Linked DNA regions of Elephas maximus indicus. The protein of the gene in region 1 purifies or fractionates together with the protein of each later gene. This does not show direct contact. Links are inferred from orthologs where the notes say so. Each region holds a gene or a part of one and is shown on either strand. Other genes may lie near its edges.

Region 1 (10,173 bases):
CCTTTGTCACAGGTGAAAAAGGTGCCAAAGAATGCTCACAGTAGTAAGAATTTACCCAATACCCCCAATTGCAGTTATTTCATTTTATTCCATAATTTTATAACACAAACCAGAATGAAACATGTTCAATGTACACAATACTGTGTACAAGTCTGACGTGCACACAGAAGAACATCTAATTTAATACCTAGGCTAAAACTTGATTTTTTAAAGCTCTTTTTAAAATGTCATTACCCAATTCTGTGTACTTAGTTAAGCAGGAGAAAAATAAAATTTGTTCAACAAAGCTAGTCTACTAGCTGAAATAGCAACATAAGAATTAACAAAGATTTGGTGTTTATTCTTAATATTTTTAAACTCATTATTAAAGTTAATCTACTATTACTCACTTTTTCCCAACAAGATATGTATTAAGGAGTTAATTCAAAACATGCCCCCACCATTCAATCAGAATAAGCTGGAAGTGGGGCTCTGATGTTTGAAAATGACAGCTTTTACTGAACAGTCTCAGAACAGATGCATTCCTGGAACTGACACATTCATGCATCCAAGTGAACCAAAAGTGATCATCAAAACTTTACCCCTACTTCCCATGGAGCCAATTTTCACAGGGAGTGGAGAAAAGGAAGGAACAAAACCATCAAGTACCCCACAAGCCCAAAAGTAATTTATGCTGACCCCTCTACTCCCCAAAATGGGAAAAGTACTCATTCTTTTTTCCTTTCTAATATTCTCCACTTTTCTTTAACATGGTTCATATACACAAAAGGTAAGACTTGGTTCAGGAATGCTGAGAGATGGATCAACTTGCTTAACATTACTACTACTAAGATAAAAACCTATTCCTTAAGACTGTTGCCATCAAGTGGATTCTGATTCATGGTGACCCCATGTGTTATAGAGTAGAACTGCTCTATTTCTTTTTCTTGGCTGTAATCCTAATGGAAGCAGGCTACCAAGCCTTTAGCCTACCAGTCCAGCATTGCACCAGTAGTTTATTCCTTAAGCTACTGACTTGTTAAAGTGACGGGATGGGGGATTTGATCTCCAAGGTGAACAATCTTATTGGCCCCAAACTTCAATATTTTCTAACCGCAACCCGAAATTGTCCTTTTCCTGTACAAAGCTTAGCTCCTCCTCTAGTATCGTTAAAAAAAAAAATATATATATATATATAAATTGATTCCAATCTCCCAGGATAGGTAAGTAAGGCTAAAAAGGAGTTTAGGCATTAAACTCAACACAGCATGCAAAATACAGAAACGAGGAGAAAAGCACGGACTATTGGGAAACCAACATTTATATCCAAGTACCCAGAAAACAAATCACTCAAATGCATCCTCATCTTTTCCTACTCCCCACACCTGGTAGTAAACTTTGTTTGGTGACCAGGACTATGGGATCATTTTTTGTTACCAGACACAAAACTGAATTCACTGCACTCAATAAAGGAAACCTATGGCGCTACAGGAAACCCTGGTGGTGTAGTGGGGTTAAGTGCTACGGCTGCTAACCAAAGGGTCAACAGTTCGAATCCGCCAGGCGCTCCTTGGAAACTATGGGGCAGTTCTACTCTGTCCTATAGGGTCGCTATGAGTCGGAATCGACTCGATGGCACTGGGTTTGGTTTTTGGTTTTTTAGCCTCTAAAGGGAAAGCCTGGTGGGATAGTGGTTAAGAGCTGCTAACCAAAAGGTCAGCAGTTCAAATCCACCAGGCACTCCTTGGAAACCCTATGGAGCAGTACTACTCTGTACTATAGGATTGCTATGAGTCGAAATCAACTCGACGGCAGCGGGTTTGGTTTTGGTTTTATGACTCTCTAGAGTCCCTGGGTGGCAGAAACACTTAAGCACTATTAGCTGAAGGTTGGCAGTTCAAACCCACCCAGAGGCTCCTTTGAAGACAGGCCCAGCATTCTGCTTCTCAAAAGTCACAGACTTGAAAACCCTATGGATCATTCTACTCTGCACACATGAGGTCCATCATGTGTCAGAACCAACTCTACAACCAACAACAACAACATGCATCTGTGGATACAGGTAAAGACAGGCTTACTCCTGTTGCACCTTCCTCCTCCTCTTCCTTTCCACTGATTCTTAAGCTCCCAATTGTCAGAGTTCTCTATAGTTCTTCTCCACATTGTAGGTCCTATGTCCCTCCCCTTTAGATTCTGAAAGGGAAATCTAACATTTGAACAACGTAATAATGTGGCTCTATCAAAAGCATTCTATGTTGAATAACCAATAAAGATCTTGCTTTTAAATCCTCAGCACTCAACTCCAAAATACAATTATCATTAAACTATGATTTGTTTGGAAACTACAATCATGAGTTTCCCAATCCGTTTCAAAAAAAAAAAAAAAAACCTCCACATTCTTTTTGTTATCACATCAAGTTTACTCACAGCCTAAATCTCTATACAACCGAAAGTATTCAAATATAATGTTAAGTTTCCTCGCAAGGGCACTGGTAGATTAAGGGTGAAACCGATCTGGGGCACAAGGCGGGAAAAAACAACTCCGTTACAAGTACACCTACATTTGTTTGAATTTTAAACACCGAAATAAAGACAAACTGACCTTGAGCTGTACTTCTCCCGTTTTATTACCCCTCCCCCTTCCAAAAGGAACCTCGTTCAATACCAATAACAACTTAAAGATTTACAAGAAAAAATTCAGTGCAGTGTCTTTCCTAAATTTGACTTCTGGAGGCCTTCTCCCTCTAATTTTTAAATCCCTGATTTCTAATTTCTAATGACACAGGGGGACTAGCCCTGACGCTATTCAAGAAACCAAGGGCCCTACCTTACATTTTAAAAAATAACTGGCTTAAGTACTTGAGAAGAAAATTTCGAAAAATCAGTAGCTTAAGTAATTACGAGATGGGTCAAGGCATTTGACTCCAACCACGTCTCACCCCGCCACACGCCCCCCCGCGAAAAAAAAACATTAGAAATAACCTATTTGTGTAAGACCACGTAATGCTGGTTTTTAATACAGTGCAATTTAATGGATGTACGGGTAACAAGTACCTAGGTCCAATGTGTGATATGTGGGTGTATGTGAAGGGGAGGGGTGGGAAGAGGAGTTATGTTGAAAAGGAAACTGCCTGGGACTAACTGAACAGACACAACGGCCATTCGATAAAGTTCTGAAAAATTACTAAAGAACCTTTCAGGACAAAGAAGCAATAAACAGAAGAGGAACTGTTCAAAACTGTGCATAAAACCATTTAATTCATATGCAAAAAAGAAAATACAGACTCTCCTGGAATCGCCTAATTCAAAGACTCAAGCCTCAGTTCTGCGCCTGAATCAGGTTAAGATTTCCAATAAAGTAAAACACGCATTCCAAGCTTGGGGACTCGACCAAAATACGGCTACTACACATCATTTTAGATAATTTCGTTCAACAGAAGATCCTTCCATTTGTCATAACGGTGCGTTCGTGAGAACGGGGAAGCCATCATTTTTACAAACTGGTAAATCGAGGCACAGGCATTACAAAACCTAAAACTGACAGTCATGATCTCCTCGCCTCCTGTTTAATGTCCTATCCACTAAAACCCAGTGTTTCTGGAGCCAAATGATACCAGGAAACTTCGAGCTCTGAGGGATAAGCCTGAAAAAAGAGAGTATGAGTGAGATTTTTCTGGACCTCCCCAGAACAAGAAGGCGAGGCAGATCGTAAAGCCCAAAAAACCCTCCTCCAAGGTGTGCCAGCCGACGGGAAGAAATCCGATCGCAGCATCTCAGCTTGTCTCCGCCCAAAGATGAACTGCAGTGATTCCCATCTCCCCCTACTCTCACTCTCATCCAGGACTACACCCCCCACCACAAGCCCAAGGAAGCCCTCCACTCGCAAAGGTTCTCCTTTGTGAGACTCCACAGCCGCCGCCCCACACTGGGCCTCCGGGGAAAAGCCACCGCCCCCACCCGCCATATTTCCCTCAAAGGCGCCAGCGCTACAGCTCCCAGTCTCCACTCTCCCCCATGTGGCGGGCGTTTCTTCCCCCATCACCCCAACCAATTGTTCTCCACATCCCAAGACTGTCCCAAAAGCTCCCCTGGGGACTGCACGTCCGGAGACAGCACCCGAGATCTCCTCCCCCTCCCCCGCCCCGAGACTCGCCCTCCCCCAGCCGCCATTTTACAATCAACTCCTCCACCCTATCGCCTCGGCCTCCCGGTCCGCGAGTGGCTACAACTGAGGACGCCGAAGGGGTCAAATTCCTGGGCCTGGAGCCTTCCATCGCTCCAGGAGCCCATAGGCCATTTCCTGCTTCCCGAATCCACGTCCCCGGGCCAGGCGCGGAGACGATGCCGCCATTTTGTCTCCTCCCGGCCTCAGTGGGCGGCGGCAGAGGGTCCGAGAATTCCAGCCCTCCGCTGCCCCACCAACTCACCGTCGTATCGCTCAGCCTGCTCAGCCAGCTTCGCCTGGTACACCAGATCCTCCCGATCATCCATAGCGGCGGTGGCTCAAGCAGGGTCTGCGCGACGGATGGAAGCGGATAGCGTCTCCGACTCTCTCAGCCTCTCGCTCCGCGTCCGGGCAGCAAAAATGGCGGCGCCTCAATCCGGGACTTCCGCCTGCGCACGCGGACAACTGCTCAGCTCTATGGTAACCGCTCCCTGGCAACTGGCGCGGGGGGGCGGGTCCTGGAGATCACCGCCAGAAGAGGCTGGAACCCTCGAGACGGCACACCTCTGTCGGCTCAGCAGGCGCTGGAGCGCAGAGGCGGGAACGCTGACTGCTGGGAGGGAGGACGGTCCGCGGGGATGTAGGGAGGCGGGGGTCGGGAGGCGAAATGGGCCTGGACCGCACCTCGAGGGAGCCGAGGGACACGAGCAAGTCGAGGCCTGGACTACGGGCAAAGAAAACGAGAGGCCATAATGGTTTTGATCATTGCAGGCCTTTGTCACCGAAATAAATATGCCCTGTCCTACATTGCCACTCCTACATTGCTCCGTCCCAGAGCTTTTGAGATTCCTTTAATCCCAGTGTAAAGAGTTGGGCCCTGCTGTGTTTGGCCATAGGATCCCTGGTGGCACAGTAGTTCAGAACTTGACTGGTAACAGGAAGATAGGCAGTTTGAATCCACCAGCCGCTCTGTGGGAGAAAATGTGATAGAATCAACTTGACGGCAATGGGTTTGGTTTGGTTGGCAATAGGCGGAAGGGCTTCCAATTCTCACGCTGCTTGGAAGTGCCTAGAGAGTGCATATAGAGCTAGAAAAGGACCAAACACAAAACATTGGAGAATTCCTACATTAAGGTAAGTGAAAGCAGAGAGGAGCCAGCGAAGGAGACTGGGTGGCTCCCTATGCATTCCAAATTATGTCACTTCACACTCTTACCCTAATTTATCAAATTCCAATGATAAAAGACTGAGGCTCAAAAGACTTGGGTTCTAGTACTAATTGTGTTGTTGTTACTAGGTGCCCTGGAGTCCGTTCCTACTCATAGCTACCCTATGCACAACAGAACGAAACACTGCCCGGTCCTGCGCCATTCTTACAATCTTTGTTATGCTTGAGCTCATTGCTGCAGCCACCCTGTCAATCCACCTCGTTGAGGGTCTTCCTCTTTTCTGCTGACCCTGTACTCTGCCAAGCATGATGTCCTTCTCCAGGGACTGATCCCTTCTGACAACATGTCCAAGTATGTAAGATGCAGTCTCGCCATCCTTGCCTCTAAGGAGCATTCTGGCCGCACTTCTTCCAAGACAGGTTTGTTTGTTCTTTTGGCAGTCCATGGTATATTCAATATTCTTCCCCAACACCACAATTCAAAGGCGTCAACTCTTCTTCGGTCTTCCTTATTCATTGTCCAGCTTTCACATGCATATGATGTGATTGAAAATACCATGGCTTGGGTCAGGCATACCTTAGTCTTCAGGGTGACATCTTTGCTCTTCAACACTTTGAAGAGGTCCTTTGCAGGAAATTTACCCAATGCAATGCGTCTTTTGATTTCTTGACTGCTGCTTCTGTGGCTGTTGATTGTGGATCCAAGTAAAATGAAATCCTTGACAACTTCAATCTTTTCTCCGTTTATCATGATGTTGCTCATTGGTCCAGTTGTGAGGATTTTTGTTTTCCTTATGTTGAGGTGTAATCCAAACTGAAGGCTGTGGTCTTTGATTTTCATTAGTAAGTGCATCAAGTCCTCTTCACTTTCAGCAAGCAAGGTTGTGTCATCTGCATAACACAGGTTGTTAATGAGTCTTCCTCCAATCTTGATGCCCCATTCTTCTTCATATAGTCCAGCCTCTCGGATAATTTGCTCAGCATACAGATTGAATAGGTATGGTGAAAGAATACAACTCTGACACACAGCTTTCCTGACTTTAAACCAATCAGTATCCCCTTGTTCTGTCAGAACAACTGCCTCGATCTATGTAGAGGTTCCTGATGAGCACAATTAAGTGTTCTGGAATTCCCATTCTTCGCAGTGTTATCCATAGTTTGTTATGATCCACACAGTTGAATGCCTTTGCATAGTCAATAAAACACAGGTAAACATCCTTCTGGTATTCTCTGCTTTCAGCCAGGATCCATTTGACATCAGCCGTGATATCTCTAGTTCCACGTCCTCTTCTGAAACAGGCCTGAAATTTCTGGCAGTTCCCTGTCAATATACTGCTGCAGCCGTTTTTGAATGATCTTCAGCAAAATTTTGCTTGTGTGTGATATTAATGATATTGTTCTATGATTTCCACATCCGGTTGGATCACCTTTCTTGGGAATAGGCATAAATATGGATCTCTTCCAGTCAGTTGGCCAGGAAGCTGCCTTCCATATTTCTTGGCATAGACGAGTGAGCACCTCCAGCGCTGCATCTGTTTGTTGAAACATCTCAATTGATATTCCATCAATTCCTGGAGCCTTGTTTTTTGCCAGTGCCTTCAGAGCAGCTTGGACATCTTCCTTCAGTACCATCGGTTCCTGATCATATGCCACCTCTTGAAATGGTTGAGTATCGACTAATTCTTTTTGGTCTAATGACTCTGTGTATTCCTTCCATCTTCTTTTGATGCTTCCTGCGTCGTTTAATATTTTCCCCATGGAATCCACTATTGCAACTCGAGGCTTGAATTTTTTCTTCAGTTCTTTCAGCTTGAGAAACGCCAAGCATGTTCTTCCCTTTTGGTTTTCCTTCTCCAGCTCTTTGCAAATGTCGTTATACTACTTCACTTTGTCTTCTTGAGAGGCCCTTTGAAATCTTCTGTTCAGGTCTTTTACTTCATCAATTCTTCCTTTTGCTTTAGTTGCTTGACACTCAAGAGCAAGTTTCAGAGTCTCCTCTGACATCCATCTTGGTCTTTTCTTTCTTTCCTGTCTTTTCAGTGACCTCTTGCTTTCTTCATGGATGATGTCCTTGATGTCATTCCACAACTCGTCTGGTCTTCGGTCACTAGTGTTCAGTGCGTCAAATCTATTCTTGAGATGGTTTCTAAATTCAGGTGGGATATACTCAAGGTCATATTTTGGTTCTTGTGGACTTGCTCTGATTTTCTTCAGTTTCAGCTTGAACTTGCATATGAGCAATTAATGGTCTGTTCCCCAGTTGGCCCCTGGCCTTGTTCTGACTGATGATATTGAACTTTTCCATCGTCTCTTTCCACATATGTAGTCAATTTGATTTCTGTGTGTTCCATCTGGCTAGGTCCATGTGTATAGTCGCTGTTTATGTTGGTGAAAGAAGGTATTTGCAATGAAGTTGTTGGTCTTGCAAAATTCTATCATTCGATCTCCGGCATTGTTTCTATCACCAAGGCCATATTTTCCAACTACTGATCCTTCTTTGTTTCCAACTTTCCCATTGCAATCGCCAGTAATTATCAATGCATCTTAATTGCATGTTCGATCAATTTCAGACTGCAGCAGCTGATAAAAATCTTCTATTTCTTCATTTTGGCCCTACTGGTTGGTGGGTAAATTTGAATAATAGTCGTATTAACTGGTCCTCCTTGTAGGCATATGGATATTATCCTATCACTGACAGCGTTGTACTTTAGGGTAGATCTTGAAACGTTCTTTTTGACGATGAATGCAACACCATTCCTCTTCGAGTTTTCATTCCCAGCATAGTAGACTGTATGATTGTCCAATTCAAAATGGCCAATACCAGTCCATTTCATCTCTCTATGCCTAGGATATCGATGTTCATGCGTTCCATTTCATTTTTGACTATTTCCAATTTTCCTAGATTCATACTTCGTACATTTTAGGTCCTGATTATTAATGGATGTTTGCAGCTGTTTCTTCTCATTTTGAGTTGTGCCACATCAGCAAATGAAAGTCCTGAAAGCTTTACTCCATCCACGTCATTAAGGTTGACTCTACTTTGAGGAGGCAGCTCTTCCCCACTCATCTTTTGAGTGCCTTACAACCTGGGGGGCTCATCTTCCTGCACTATATCAGACAGTGTTCCACTGCTATTCCTGAGGTTTTCACTGGCTAATGCTTTTCAGAAGTAGACTGCCGGGTCCTTCTTCCTAGCCCGTCTTAGTCTGGAAACTCAGCTGAAACCTGTCCTCCATGGGTGACCCTGCTGGTATCTGAATACTGGCGGCATAGCTTCCAGCATCACAGCAACACACAAGCCCCCACAGTACGACAAACTGACAGACACGAGGGGAAGTACTAATTCTAAAAAAAAGAAAAAAATTCTAGGACTGAATAAATGTATGACCTTCAGCAAGTCACTTCACCTCTATGAGCTTCGAATTCATGTGTAAAGTGAAGGAACTGGATCTGCTGACCTTTTCCAGCTCTGTAGAACACGTCCTAGCAATTAAGACTATGGCCTCTGCTCTTGGATTCCTTGGGTTCAAGGGCTACTTATTGCGTGTGCAATGGAGGCAAGTCACTCACCTTCTTTAAGCCTCAGTTTTCTTACCTATAAAATGGGAATGATATTTTCCTCATACAAATGAGAATCAAGTGGGCGGTTACCTGGAAGATGCCTGATACTCAATGAATGTTAACTATGTATTATTAATGTTTCTGTGGCTCAAGTTTGAGTGAGAATCAGGAGACATTAGTGTCATAAAACAAGTGAGAAGAGTTTCAAAAATAATGAGGTGGTCCAAACCAAACCTGTTGCCATCGAGTCAATTCTGAATCATATGGCCTCTATAAGACAGAGTAGAACTGCCCCATAGAGTTTCCAAGGAGCGCCTGGTGGATTCGAACTGCCAACGTTTTGGTTAGCAGCCATAGCACTTAACCACTACCCACCAGGGTTTCCAAGGGTGTGGTGAGTAGTATTAAATTCTGCAGAGACATTAAGTAAGACTGGCACTGAGGAAAAGCCATTAAATATAGCAATTAGGTCATTATTGACCTTCAAGAGCAGTTTTGAAAGGGTGTTGGAAGCTAGACTACATTTGGTTCAGACCCAAAGAAGGTGAGGAAATGAAAGCAGTTAAGTGTAGAGCTCTCTTGAAAAGCATAGCAGTGAAGAGATACCAAAAAAGACGTTGCTGTAGAGTTGATTCTGACTCAAAACCCAAAACCAAACCAGTTGCCGTCCAGTTGATTACGACTCGTAGCGACCGTACAGCATAATTTGGGAGAAAGTGGCTCTGGTGGAGCAATGGTGCAGAGCTCAGCTTCTAACCAAAAGGTCAGTGGTTCGAATCCAGCAGCAGCTCCAAGGGGAAAAGACCTGGAATTTTGCTCCCACAAAGATTACAGCCTAGGAAACCCTATGGGGCAGTTCTCTGTCCTAGAGGGTCACTACGGGTCAGAATCAACTTGTGGACACAGCAAAAATAATTTGAGAGAAATGAGAATGAAGTCGTGGTGACCAATAAGGGTGGCCAAATAATGAAGTTCAGTCACAGGTTTTGACCCATGTGTTCACATATGTCACCCCACCTAAAAAAAAAGTCAGCTTTGCTCCTAGATTAACGACAGGACATGCAGAGATTAGGAGGTAACCTTCTTTTATCCACTGGGTCTTCTCTCCCGGCAGGGAACTCCTGACCAGTGTCTCCCAAGACTAGCTGAAGTCTATCTGAAGGTGTCTGCTCCTAAGAAATGACTGAGAATGCAGAAATCTTAAACCAAGATTGATTTTCTGAGTGTACTGCCTGTTCTCTCAGTAAACGGTACTAAAAGGGATGGAAATTGTTGATAGGGCACCAAAAACAGAAACATT
Region 2 (10,696 bases), on another chromosome or scaffold:
AATAATTATTCCCAGAAGGCTAAAAAATGAGGTAATAAAACAATCATTGAAAGAAAAAGGAAAGAAGTAGCTACCATAATTTGTGGCTCAGTTTATCATGTAATGTGTATTTCACTCTTAAAGAAAAAAAGTAGAACACAGTAAACGATATTAAAATATATATATAAATTATGCCACATAATCTACAAGGCCTGCCAGGCTGGGCTGGTCTGAGCCGCACCTACCTCTCCCTCCACTCTGGGCCTCATTCACTAGGACCTGCCTTCTCTCTGCTCAGCGAGGCTTGTTTCCACGTTATGTTCCCTTGCCTGATCTTGGTGTGGCTCAGCAGCCTTCATCACCTGTGTCTCCGCTCATGTCACTTCCTCAGAGCGGCTTTACTTGACCACCACCCCTGCCTGAAATAGCAGCCCCACCCTCCACCCCAGCCCTCTCTACCCCTTTCCATGCTTTGCTGTCTTAAGAGTGCTTATTAATATCTGTAATTCCATGATTCCTGTCTAACTTTCCTACTACATTAAGCTCTAGGATGGCAGGGATACTGTCATTTGGTTTGCCCCTGTGTCCCTTATAGGGACCCAGAAGTGACTGGCACAGTGTGGGCACTCAAATGTGTGAATAAATGCAGCACATGATGACTTTTTTTCCTATTCTCAGAATACACATAAAATTGGCAGTCCTCCAGTAACCCAAAGTTTCATTCTCTTGTATGGAGGATTGCTATGGCCGGAGCCAACTCGATGGTTAGCAAACTGAGGGCAAATAATATACTTTGTACTTATTTTGCACCCCAGGAATTACAGGGACTAGCATATCTTATTGCTTGTTAATTTGGCTCAACTTTCAATCTGCTGGTATCTGTTAGAAAAGCAACAAAACTGTATCATCACAATATATCAACTATCGCTTCAACACGCAAAATAAAACCTCGGAAGGCCCATTGGGAAAGGGGAACAAAGATCTGTCAAGCATAATATATTCTTCTGACGAATTTAAACATTTGTTTTAAACAGCGATTTCTACTGACTTGGATCCAAGTAGTCTCATGCTGGCTCTTCGTTACATAGTAGGCTAGCTACAAAATCAAAATAAAATCCAATATTGATTTTTACAACCTTGTTTACATTATCAACTCACCACCATCAGTAGCAAATAACCAATAAAGTCAAACAAACCACACTGTAATAGACTGTCTGCTCTACTCAAAGTCTGAACAAATAACCAATAAAATCAAACAAATCACACTGTGATAGACTGTCTGCTCTACTCAAAGTCTGAACAAGAAGTTATAGCTTCGTATCATAACAGAATTCCACAGTACCTGCATTCATTAACAAATAAAAACAGAAAAAAAAAAAGGTGCTAGGCACTGTGATTTGCCCATTTTAGGCCCTATGCAAAATTTTCATTTTATAGTAATTTTATAGCAATAGCTACAATGAGGATCACAGTTAACAAATATCTGGCTAGGCACTTCTTAAAAGGTCAACAATTTAAAGCAAAGGGAGCCTTACCTGACAACTACAGAGATTACAATGCTCCATGAAATCTGTCAGTTTATTCTCAGAGAGAAAAGGTCTTTCAAAAACTAAGTTACAACATATAATTACCTTCAAATTGCATAATATCTACCATATACGTGGTGCTCCAAGTTTTTCTGGTGTCAATAAAAACTATTTAACCGTAGGTATTTTTTTTATTACTCCAGGGTCAGATTATTTGTTCTTACTATTTCACAGTTTTAGGAGTTCCTTAAAAGTTTTTATTTTATATTAAAAAGTTTACTACTTGCAACAACAAGGACACGGGTTAACCTCCCCTCCCATGCCTGCCCTAGTAGCAAGCATGCTCCACTTCACCCACCCATCCTATAGACGTGAAGTAATATTACAACCAAACAAAACCGCAAAATGCAAAAAAAAAAGTTTATAGGTCCTTTACCTTTTTTGGGTCTACTGATCCATCTAACCTGAACTGTTTACCTGTGTCGCTGATGTGATGTTCTGCAACGGAGTAAGTTTGTGGAATACCTGGTGCCACGTTATCCCAGACCTGCTGCAAGGGCCAAGGGACAGATGAGGGAATGATGGTACTGCTGTCCCTAGAATGCCTGGTTCTTCAGAAAACTCCCAGCAGACACAGGCTTGTGAGCATTTCAGGGGAGAGGGCCGACAGGACACCCAGGCTTATGGAACGCCACTATTCTATAAACCAAACCAAACTGAACCCATTGTCATTGAGTCGATTCTAACTCAAAGCGACCCTACAGGACAGAACAAATCTGCTCCGTAGGGTTTCTAAGAAGCGGCTGGTGGATTCAAACTATCGATCTTTTGGCTGGCAGCCAAATGCTTAGACCACTGCACCACCTATGGCAGCAGGTTAAACATTTCTTTCAGTAAAGGTATTTTTAGGGAATCAGTACAAATTAGCAAGGCAGACTGTGTCAGGTTTGAAGCATTCACCAAAAAAAAAAGTACATTGAAAACTGTGCTACTTTAATTCTAGAGTCATTTATCTGGCCCCTGTCAGAAGCTCCAAGAACACACCACTACCACTACCACTTTTCTATACAGTATTTTGTTAGATTTTGCTCCTGTCACTTCAGCAGTTGCAATTTTAAATAATAAGAGACTTGGGGGGAGGGGAACTGTCATAAAATAAAACCTAAAAGTATTAAATGCTTATAAGTACCTAAAACCCAAACCGGTTGCCATCCAGTTGATTCCAACGCATAGCGACCCTATAAGGACAGAGCAGAACTGCCCCACAGGGTTTCCAAGGAGCAGTTGGTGGATTCGAACTGCCAACCTTTTGGTTAGCAGCTCAGCTCTTAACAGCTGCGCCACCGGGCTCCTATAAGTACCTATCAATACCCAAATTATTTATAATTTCCAAATAAAGATACTACATTATTCGTGTTCAAAAACTTTCCAGGACTGAAGGATTTTTGAAAAGAAAAAAAAATTCACAAAACATATGACAAATACATCATTTATTCTTGTCCCTGAAGCTGCCTCTAGTCGACTTAGGGAGGAAGGACACTGTTTCAGTTTGCATTAGCACCTGTCCTAGCAGGTTTTACAAGGTTAAAAGCCATCCTGCTGTAGTAGGCCACGACCAGTTCTGGCTGCAACATTCAATCTGTCATGGGATTTCACTTTATTCTAAGACTATCACATGGAGTGAGCTTCCATATTAAAGAACTAACTTCAAACAGCAATTCTATTAGCTCTTTTGTACAGTGAAAATTTAATACGATTTGTATTTAAGTCATGTCAGTTATTCACGGACATCTGGAAAATTCAACCTTATTTATAAACACACTAAATGATACAGGCCAGGTCTTGAGGATGTCAAGTGTCTGTGCCAGGACAATACACTCGCTCTCAATAAACCCACAAGCGTATAACACAAGCTGGTGTTTCTTGACTACAGGCTGTTCACCAACACTCAAGCCACGGAACCAATAATAAAATCACACTTCATTTGCAGAGATGTCTGAATGAAAAATCTATAGAAGTTCAAGAACACAAAGCCATATTCAAGTGGGAGAATGGCAACCTCGATACAGCACTTGTAAATCTGAAGGAAAGAGGAAATTGGGTGAAAGCCATTACGCAGGAAAGGGGGCCATGGGTTCCTCAAGGAAGGAATTCAGGAAGGCCTGTCTACAAAGTCCTACCCAAATGAACCACCTATTGTACCTAAAGGCCAAATCTCCCCGTAAGGTTTTCAGGAGATACAGGTTTCAACTGCTTCGTCTACATGCAAATCTGATCCACATTTTTCAAAAAGCGCCCAAAAGCAACAAGTCAAACTAAGTGTGTTATCGGCCTCAAAGCAAGTCGCCAAGGTCTAGCTGGAACTTTGAACCCCGGAAGGCTGCTCCAGGCCCAGTGAGAGCTGGTCCCCGCCCCTTTCCACCTGGCGCCCTATTCCGGAGGGTCCACCCTGGGATGCATGGGGTGGGCTGCCTGCCCGGCGCTGTTCCAGGGCACTGGGTTGGAGCTAGCAGTGCCCTCCCCAACTTCTCTCCTCACCCCCAGGACTGCCCGCCACTGTTTCCCACTTACTGTTGCTGGACTTGAGGTCCCGGTGCAGTATGGGCACTATGGCCTCCTCGTGCAGGTAGAGCATGCCCCGCGCGATCTGCACCGCCCAGTTGACCAGGACGTGCGGGGGGATGCGACGCGCGCGGCGCGGGCCGGGGGCGCGCGAGTCTGCGGCGGCAGCCAAGGCGCGGTTGAGCGCTCCGCCGCGGGCGAACTCGAGCACCAGACAGAGGTTGGGCTGCCGCAGGCAGACGCCGCGCAGCTGGATGATGTTGGGGTGCTGCAGCATGGAGAAGAGCTTCGCCTCGCGCCGCACGCTCTCGGCCGCCGCCGCCGCGTCCTGCTCCGGGTCGCGCCGCGCCGCCTTCACCGCCACCTCCTGTCCCTGCCAGGTGGCCCGGAACACCTGCCCGAAACCGCCGGCGCCGATCAGCTCCTTCAGCTCCAGCCGCTCGAACTCGATGTGCACCGGCGAGCCGGGCCGCGGTGGCGGCGGCGGGGCGGGAGGCGGCGGCGGCGGGCAGGCGCCCGGGCGGCAGGGCGCCACGTAGTTGGCGGGGAAGATGCCGAGGCGCCGCTGCACCTGGCCGGCCCACCAGCCCTCGTCGCCCGACACGGCGGCGTCCTGGGACAGCACCTCCACCAGCTGGCCGCGCCGCAGGCTCAGCTCGTCCTCGCCGCTCGCCTCGTAGTCGTAGAGCGCGGCCCACAGGCGCCCGGCGCCCGCCGCGGAGCACGAGCCGCTGGAGGAGGCTGAGGACGACGACGAGGAGCCGGCGGCCGCGGGAGCCCCCAGCGCCGGGGACGCGGGCCTGTCGGCCGCCCCCGCGGCGCCCGGGAAGGCCATGGAGGGGTGGTCCAGAGGAGGAGGACAGGGTCGCAGGGCTGCGGGCTCAGCCTCCGGGGCGGCCCGGCGGGCGCATCGTCCGGCGGAGTCGCGGTGCCCACGCCCCCGGAGCCGGCCACGAGGAGGGAGTCCGGGGGTCCGGGGATGGGGAGAGGAGGGTTACAGGGCCGCTGGGTCCGCTACCCGGAGGCCCCCGCCTCAGCCCAGCTCTTCCTCAGTGGCTCTTGCTGATGCAGCTGCACCCGCGGGCGCGGGCGCGGGCGCTCCATGGTGGCTCACGGGTCCTCCGCCGGCCTGAGAGCGCGGGCCGCCCTCCGCCCTCGGCACCGCCCCCGCCGGCGCGCCCTGCCCGCCGCCCCGCCCCTCTCCGGGCCTGCCGCGCCCCTGCCGCCCCGCCGCGCCCCAGACGTCGGGGCTCGCGGGCATTGGCACGCCGAGCCACGTGACCGAGGGAGGGAGCGAGCCGGGGCGAGGGAGCGAGCCGGGGCGAGGGAGCGAGCCGGGGCGAGGGAGCGAGCCGGGGCGAGGGAGCGAGCCGGGGCGAGGGAGCGAGCCGGGGCGAGGGAGCGAGCCGGGGCGAGGGAGCGAGCCGGGGCGAGGGAGCGAGCCGGGGCGTCTGGTCCAGAGGGAAGAGAAGTTTTCGGAAAATTGTAAATTAAGTACAGGGTGGTGGTGGTGGTTGGTTGCAGCAGAGTTCATTCTGACCCATGGACGGGCAGAGGCTAGAGAGCTTTAAGGATCCAAGATCCGGTGCTTTAAGGTGTGAAGGAAGGGAGTGAATTGTAGCGCGGAGGGAGTGACAGGACATCTCTGAATAGGTCGGAGAGTGGTCCCAAACCTGGGACGGGGCAGTTGCCACATCACCAGGCCTGGTGTATTTGAAATCAAAGTGCATTTCACAGGGAGTAGGGTGCGGGTGACAGTACAGAGCGAGCTATAGGTCTGTACACCCCCGCAAGTCCCTTCATCATAACCTTTAATTCTTTGTTTGCATTACTGCCTCCTCAAATGGAAAAAGGAGCCCCTGAGCCCGTGAACCCACCAGTTTGGGTTGATCAGACATAGGAAAAGACTGGCTGCTAGAGGCCCTGACCTCTTAAGGCTTGTTTCCCCCCCGGAGGTGGGCTTCATTCTCTCCCAGAAAAGGTAAATAAGGTAATAGAGTCGTTATACACAGAAACTCAAGTCCTCAATGGTGTGCTGACTATTCATTAAACCAGTGCCATAGAGTCTTTGCTGACTCATGACAACCCCATGTGCGTCAGAGTAGAGCTGCTCCATAGGGTTTTCAGTCGCTGGTTTTTTGGGAGTGGATCTCCAGGTGCCTTTGGGTGGACTCAAACCTCCAACCTTTCAGTTAGCAGCCACGCATAGTTAACACCACGCAGGGACTCCTGAGTATGCATTAAGGGTGTTTACTTGGTGTTCTATCATGTGGGATAAATAAAGAGCATACAAAGTGTGTACCTAAACATTCAGGGAAGCAGAACTGCTGCTTCTCTTGATTGATAGGCCTCACCTCCCTCTATTTGCCCTGTATAGCTTTCTAACAGATTTAGAGAATAAAAGTTTTATATTTGGAGCTAGGAACTCTTTCTGGTCTAAGAACAGGGAGGAATTTTGGAATTTTCTCATAGGAACATGCATTCCTACTCTGTAGTTTGTTAACGAATGCATTTGTTTTAAAAATTTTTTTTTGAGAATTTACTGATGAGAAGGGTTATTAAAAGGAATAAAATAATTAGTTCTCATGAAAAAGATTGCTACTGTTAGATGTTAGATGTAGCCAGTCTTCTCTTCCTCTGCAGCTGAAAAGGTAGCAGTGTGGTGCCTCTTTCTCTCCTGGGTTTTCTACTTTTCCCAGGCCTAGACTCACAGGGGCTTTCCCTTCTCCATCCTCTTAACCCCATCCTACCCCCATTTACTCTCTATACTGATGGAGATGTGGGAAGAAACTCTCCAAGTATAAATTTAAAGTAACTACTGACTGTTTACTGAGCACTTACTCTGTGTAAGACACTATGCTAAGGAATGGCAGATACAGGGACAAATGAGCAAGGCTTCTGCTCTAGAGATGACAAGAAAGAATAAAGGTCCACAACAAAAGAACAAACCAACTTGTCTGGACTTAAGGTGAAAAAAAAAAAAGGTGAAGGAGCAATTAATTACAACTGGGGTGGCTGGGGACTGCTTTGTGATTCATCATTTGAACTGAGTATGATTAGAATTAACAGGGCAAGGGAAGAAGGACATTCCAGGCAGACAGAATGAAAATACAGTAAATAGTGGCCTCAGGCAATGGCAAGAGGATGACAGGTTCCTGTGGCAGAGGATGAGGCTAGAAAGATAGAAAAGAGTCAAGTTATAAAAATTATAAAGAGCATCCTATAGCATGCTAGACACTCCTGAAGTGTGGGTGACAGGAGAGATTATTTTAGGAGTAATGAGAACAGGACATATAATAATATTGACTCATATAATGAGAAATTCATTGCCTTTTCGGTTTTCTTTCAATCCTGCTCATGCCATTTATTGGCTTTATGAACTTGAGCAAGATACCATATCTCTTGTGGCTCAATATCCTCATCTGTAAAATGGAAATAATAATAAACAGTACCTATCTTGTAGAGTATCTCGTAGAGTTGTTTTAGTAGATCATCAGGCCTTTCTTCCTAGTCTGTCTTAGTCTGGAGGCTCCAATGAAACCTCTCTACCATGGGTGACTCTGCTGGTGTTTGAAATGCTGGTGGCATAGCTTCCAGTGTCACAGCAACACCCAAGCCACCACATTAGGACAAATTGACAACAGGTCAGTCTTAGAGGAAATAGAATCGAAATGTTCCTTAGAAGTGAGGATGGCAAGACTTTGACTCCCTTACTTTGGACATATCATCAGGAAAGACCAATCACTAGAAAAATAAGACATCATGTTCAGTAAAATAGTCAACAAAAATGAGAGAAACCCTCGACGAGATGGATTGATACAATGGCTGCAATGATGAACTTAAAATGTACCCACAAACATGATGGCACAGGACCAGGCAATGTTTCATTATGTTGTAGATAGGGTCATCTTCAGTTGAAACCAACTTGACAGCAACTAACAACAACAACATCTCATGGAGATGTTGGGAAGACTAAATGAGTTACTACATAAAGGACTTGAAAGATGCTTGGCACTTAGTAAGTTTTCAGTAAGTGTTGGCTGTGTTATTAATATCCCTTTTTAATAAAGATAGAAGGAAGGTCCTTAGCTTGGCCCCTTTGGTAGACCAGAAATTCTATTTGTTTTTCTATTTCTAATATTTCTATTTATGGTTGCCTTCTGTTTTATGACAAGTGATAGGAATTTTCTGTTCAAAGTAATGGAAATAAGTTTTATACTCAATTTATTTAAGTAAAAAAATAGTCAACAGAAGCTCATCGAACCCACATAGGGTAGATCCCAAAAGAATGTCATCAAGACATATTATAATCAAACTTGCCAAAATCAAAGATAAAGAGAGAATTTTAAGAACAGCTAGAGAAAATGAAAAGTCACCTACAAAGGAGACTCAATAAGACTAATCTCTGACTATTTAGCAGAAAGCATGCAGGCAAGAAGGCAATGGAATGACATATATAAAGCCTTGAAGAAAAAAAATTGCCAGCCAAGAATTATGTATCCAGCAAAACAGTCTCTTAAATATGATGGCAAAGTTAGGTCATTTCCTGATAAACAGAAGTTTAGAGAATTTGTTAAAAACCAACCAAAATTACAAGAAATACTAAAGGGAGCCCTCCAGTTATAAAATCAATAAAATCGGATTACAACCCAAGTCTAGAACACGGGCTCAAACAGGCAGATATCAACCCAGGCAGGGAAGTCACAAAAATAAATCAAAGCTAAAACTTTGAAAATAGGGAAACAGAGATGTCAGTATGTAAAAGATGACAACATTAAAACAAAAAAGAGGGATTAAATAATATAGGCATAGAATTTTTATATGGAGAGGAAGTCAAGGCAATATCAAGAAATAAAAAATTGATTTAAACATACAAAAATAGGGGTAAATATTAAGGTAAACACAAAGGAAACTAACAATCCTACACATCCAAAATAAAAAACAAGAAAAACATAAAACCAAAACCAAATGCAAAATTAACTACAATGAAAAAGATGAAAGGGGTATACATTAAGAAACATTAAGAAAAATGATTCAGCACAGAAAATTAAGTGGAACAAAGAAACTGTCAACAACACACACACAAAAACAATATTAGAATGACAGCACTAAACTCATACCTATCAATAATTACACTGAATGTAAGTGGACTAAATGCACCAATAAAGAGACAGAGAGTGGCAGAATGGATTAAAAAACACGATCCATCTATATGCTGTCTACAAGAGACACATCTTAGACCCAAAGACACAAACAAACTAAAACTCAAAGGTGGGGAAAAAATATATCAAGCAAACAACAATCAAAAAAGAGCAGGAGTGGCAATATTAATCTCTGACAAAATAGGCTTTAAAACAAAATCCACCATAAAGGATAAGGAAGGACACTACATAATGATAAAAGGGTCAATACGCCAGGAGGACATAACCATAATAAATATTTACACACCCAATAACAGGGTTCCAAAACACATGAAAGAAACTCTAACAGCACTGAGAAGAGAAATAAACCCAGAAACCAAGTGCCATCGAGTCGATTCTGACTCATAGTGACCCTATAGGACAGAGTAGAACTGCCCCATAGAGTTTCCAAGGAGCGCCTGGTGGATTCGAACTGAAGCCATAGCACTTAATCACTATGCCACCGGGGTTTCCAAGAAGAGAAAAAGCTCCACAATAAAAACAGGAGATGTCAACACACCACTTTTCAGTGAAGGACAGAGCATCCAGAAAGAAGCTCAATAAAGATACGGAAGATCTATGCGCCATAATCAACAAATTTGATCTCATAGGCATATACAGAACACTCTACACAACAGCAGCCAAGGATATTTTCCAGCACACATGAAACATTCTCCAGAATAAACCACATATTAGGCCACAAAGCAAGACTTAACAGAATCCAAAACATTGAAATATTACAAAGCATCTTTTCTGACCATAAAGCCGTAAAAGTAGAAATCAGTAACAGAAAAAGCAAGGGAAAAAAATTAAATACCTGAAAACTGAACAAAACCTTGCTCAAAAACTCCTGGATTATGGAAGAAACTAAGATTGGAATACAGAAATTCACAGAATCAAATGAGAATGAAAATACATCCTACCAGAACCTTTATAACACAACAAAAGCAGTGCTCAGAGGTCAATATATAGCAATAAACGCACACATCCCAAAAGAAGAAAAGGCCAAAGTTAAAACATTAACCCTACAACTTGAACAAATAGAAAGAGAGCAACAAAAGAAACCCTCAGGTATCGGAAGAAAGCAAATAATAAAAATTAGACCTGAATTAAATGAAATAGAGAATTAAAAAAAAAAAAAATTGAAAACATTAACAAGACCAAAAGCTTGTTCTTTGAAAAGATCGACAAAATCAATAAATCATTGGCCAAACTGAAAAAAGAAAAATAGGAGAGGAAGCAATAACCCAAGTAAGAAATGAGATGGGTGATATCACAACAGACCCAAGTGAAATTAAAAGAATCATAACAGAATACCATGAAAAATTGTACTCCAACAAATTTGAAAACCTAGCGGAAATGGACAAATTTCTAGAAACACACTACCTATCTAAACTAACACAAACAGAGGTAGAACAATTAAATAAACCTAAAACAATAGAAGATATT

The links.
Region 2: the proteins of YWHAE (region 1) and MAP3K21 purify together in Homo sapiens (affinity purification with mass spectrometry; 3 studies listed by BioGRID and IntAct, with this or other methods). This does not show direct contact. The link is inferred for Elephas maximus indicus from reciprocal best matches to the Homo sapiens genes YWHAE and MAP3K21.

The regions. Positions count from the first base shown.
Region 1 is NC_064837.1:20,284,649-20,294,821, reverse strand, and holds the start of YWHAE (14-3-3 protein epsilon), read right to left. Parts: upstream 4,590-10,173; 5' UTR 4,471-4,589; coding exon 4,407-4,470; intron 1-4,406. UniProt on the Homo sapiens protein: Adapter protein implicated in the regulation of a large spectrum of both general and specialized signaling pathways. Binds to a large number of partners, usually by recognition of a phosphoserine or phosphothreonine motif.
Region 2 is NC_064842.1:31,129,148-31,139,843, forward strand, and holds the start of MAP3K21 (mitogen-activated protein kinase kinase kinase 21), read right to left. Parts: upstream 5,231-10,696; 5' UTR 4,903-5,230; coding exon 4,077-4,902; intron 1-4,076. UniProt on the Homo sapiens protein: Negative regulator of TLR4 signaling. Does not activate JNK1/MAPK8 pathway, p38/MAPK14, nor ERK2/MAPK1 pathways.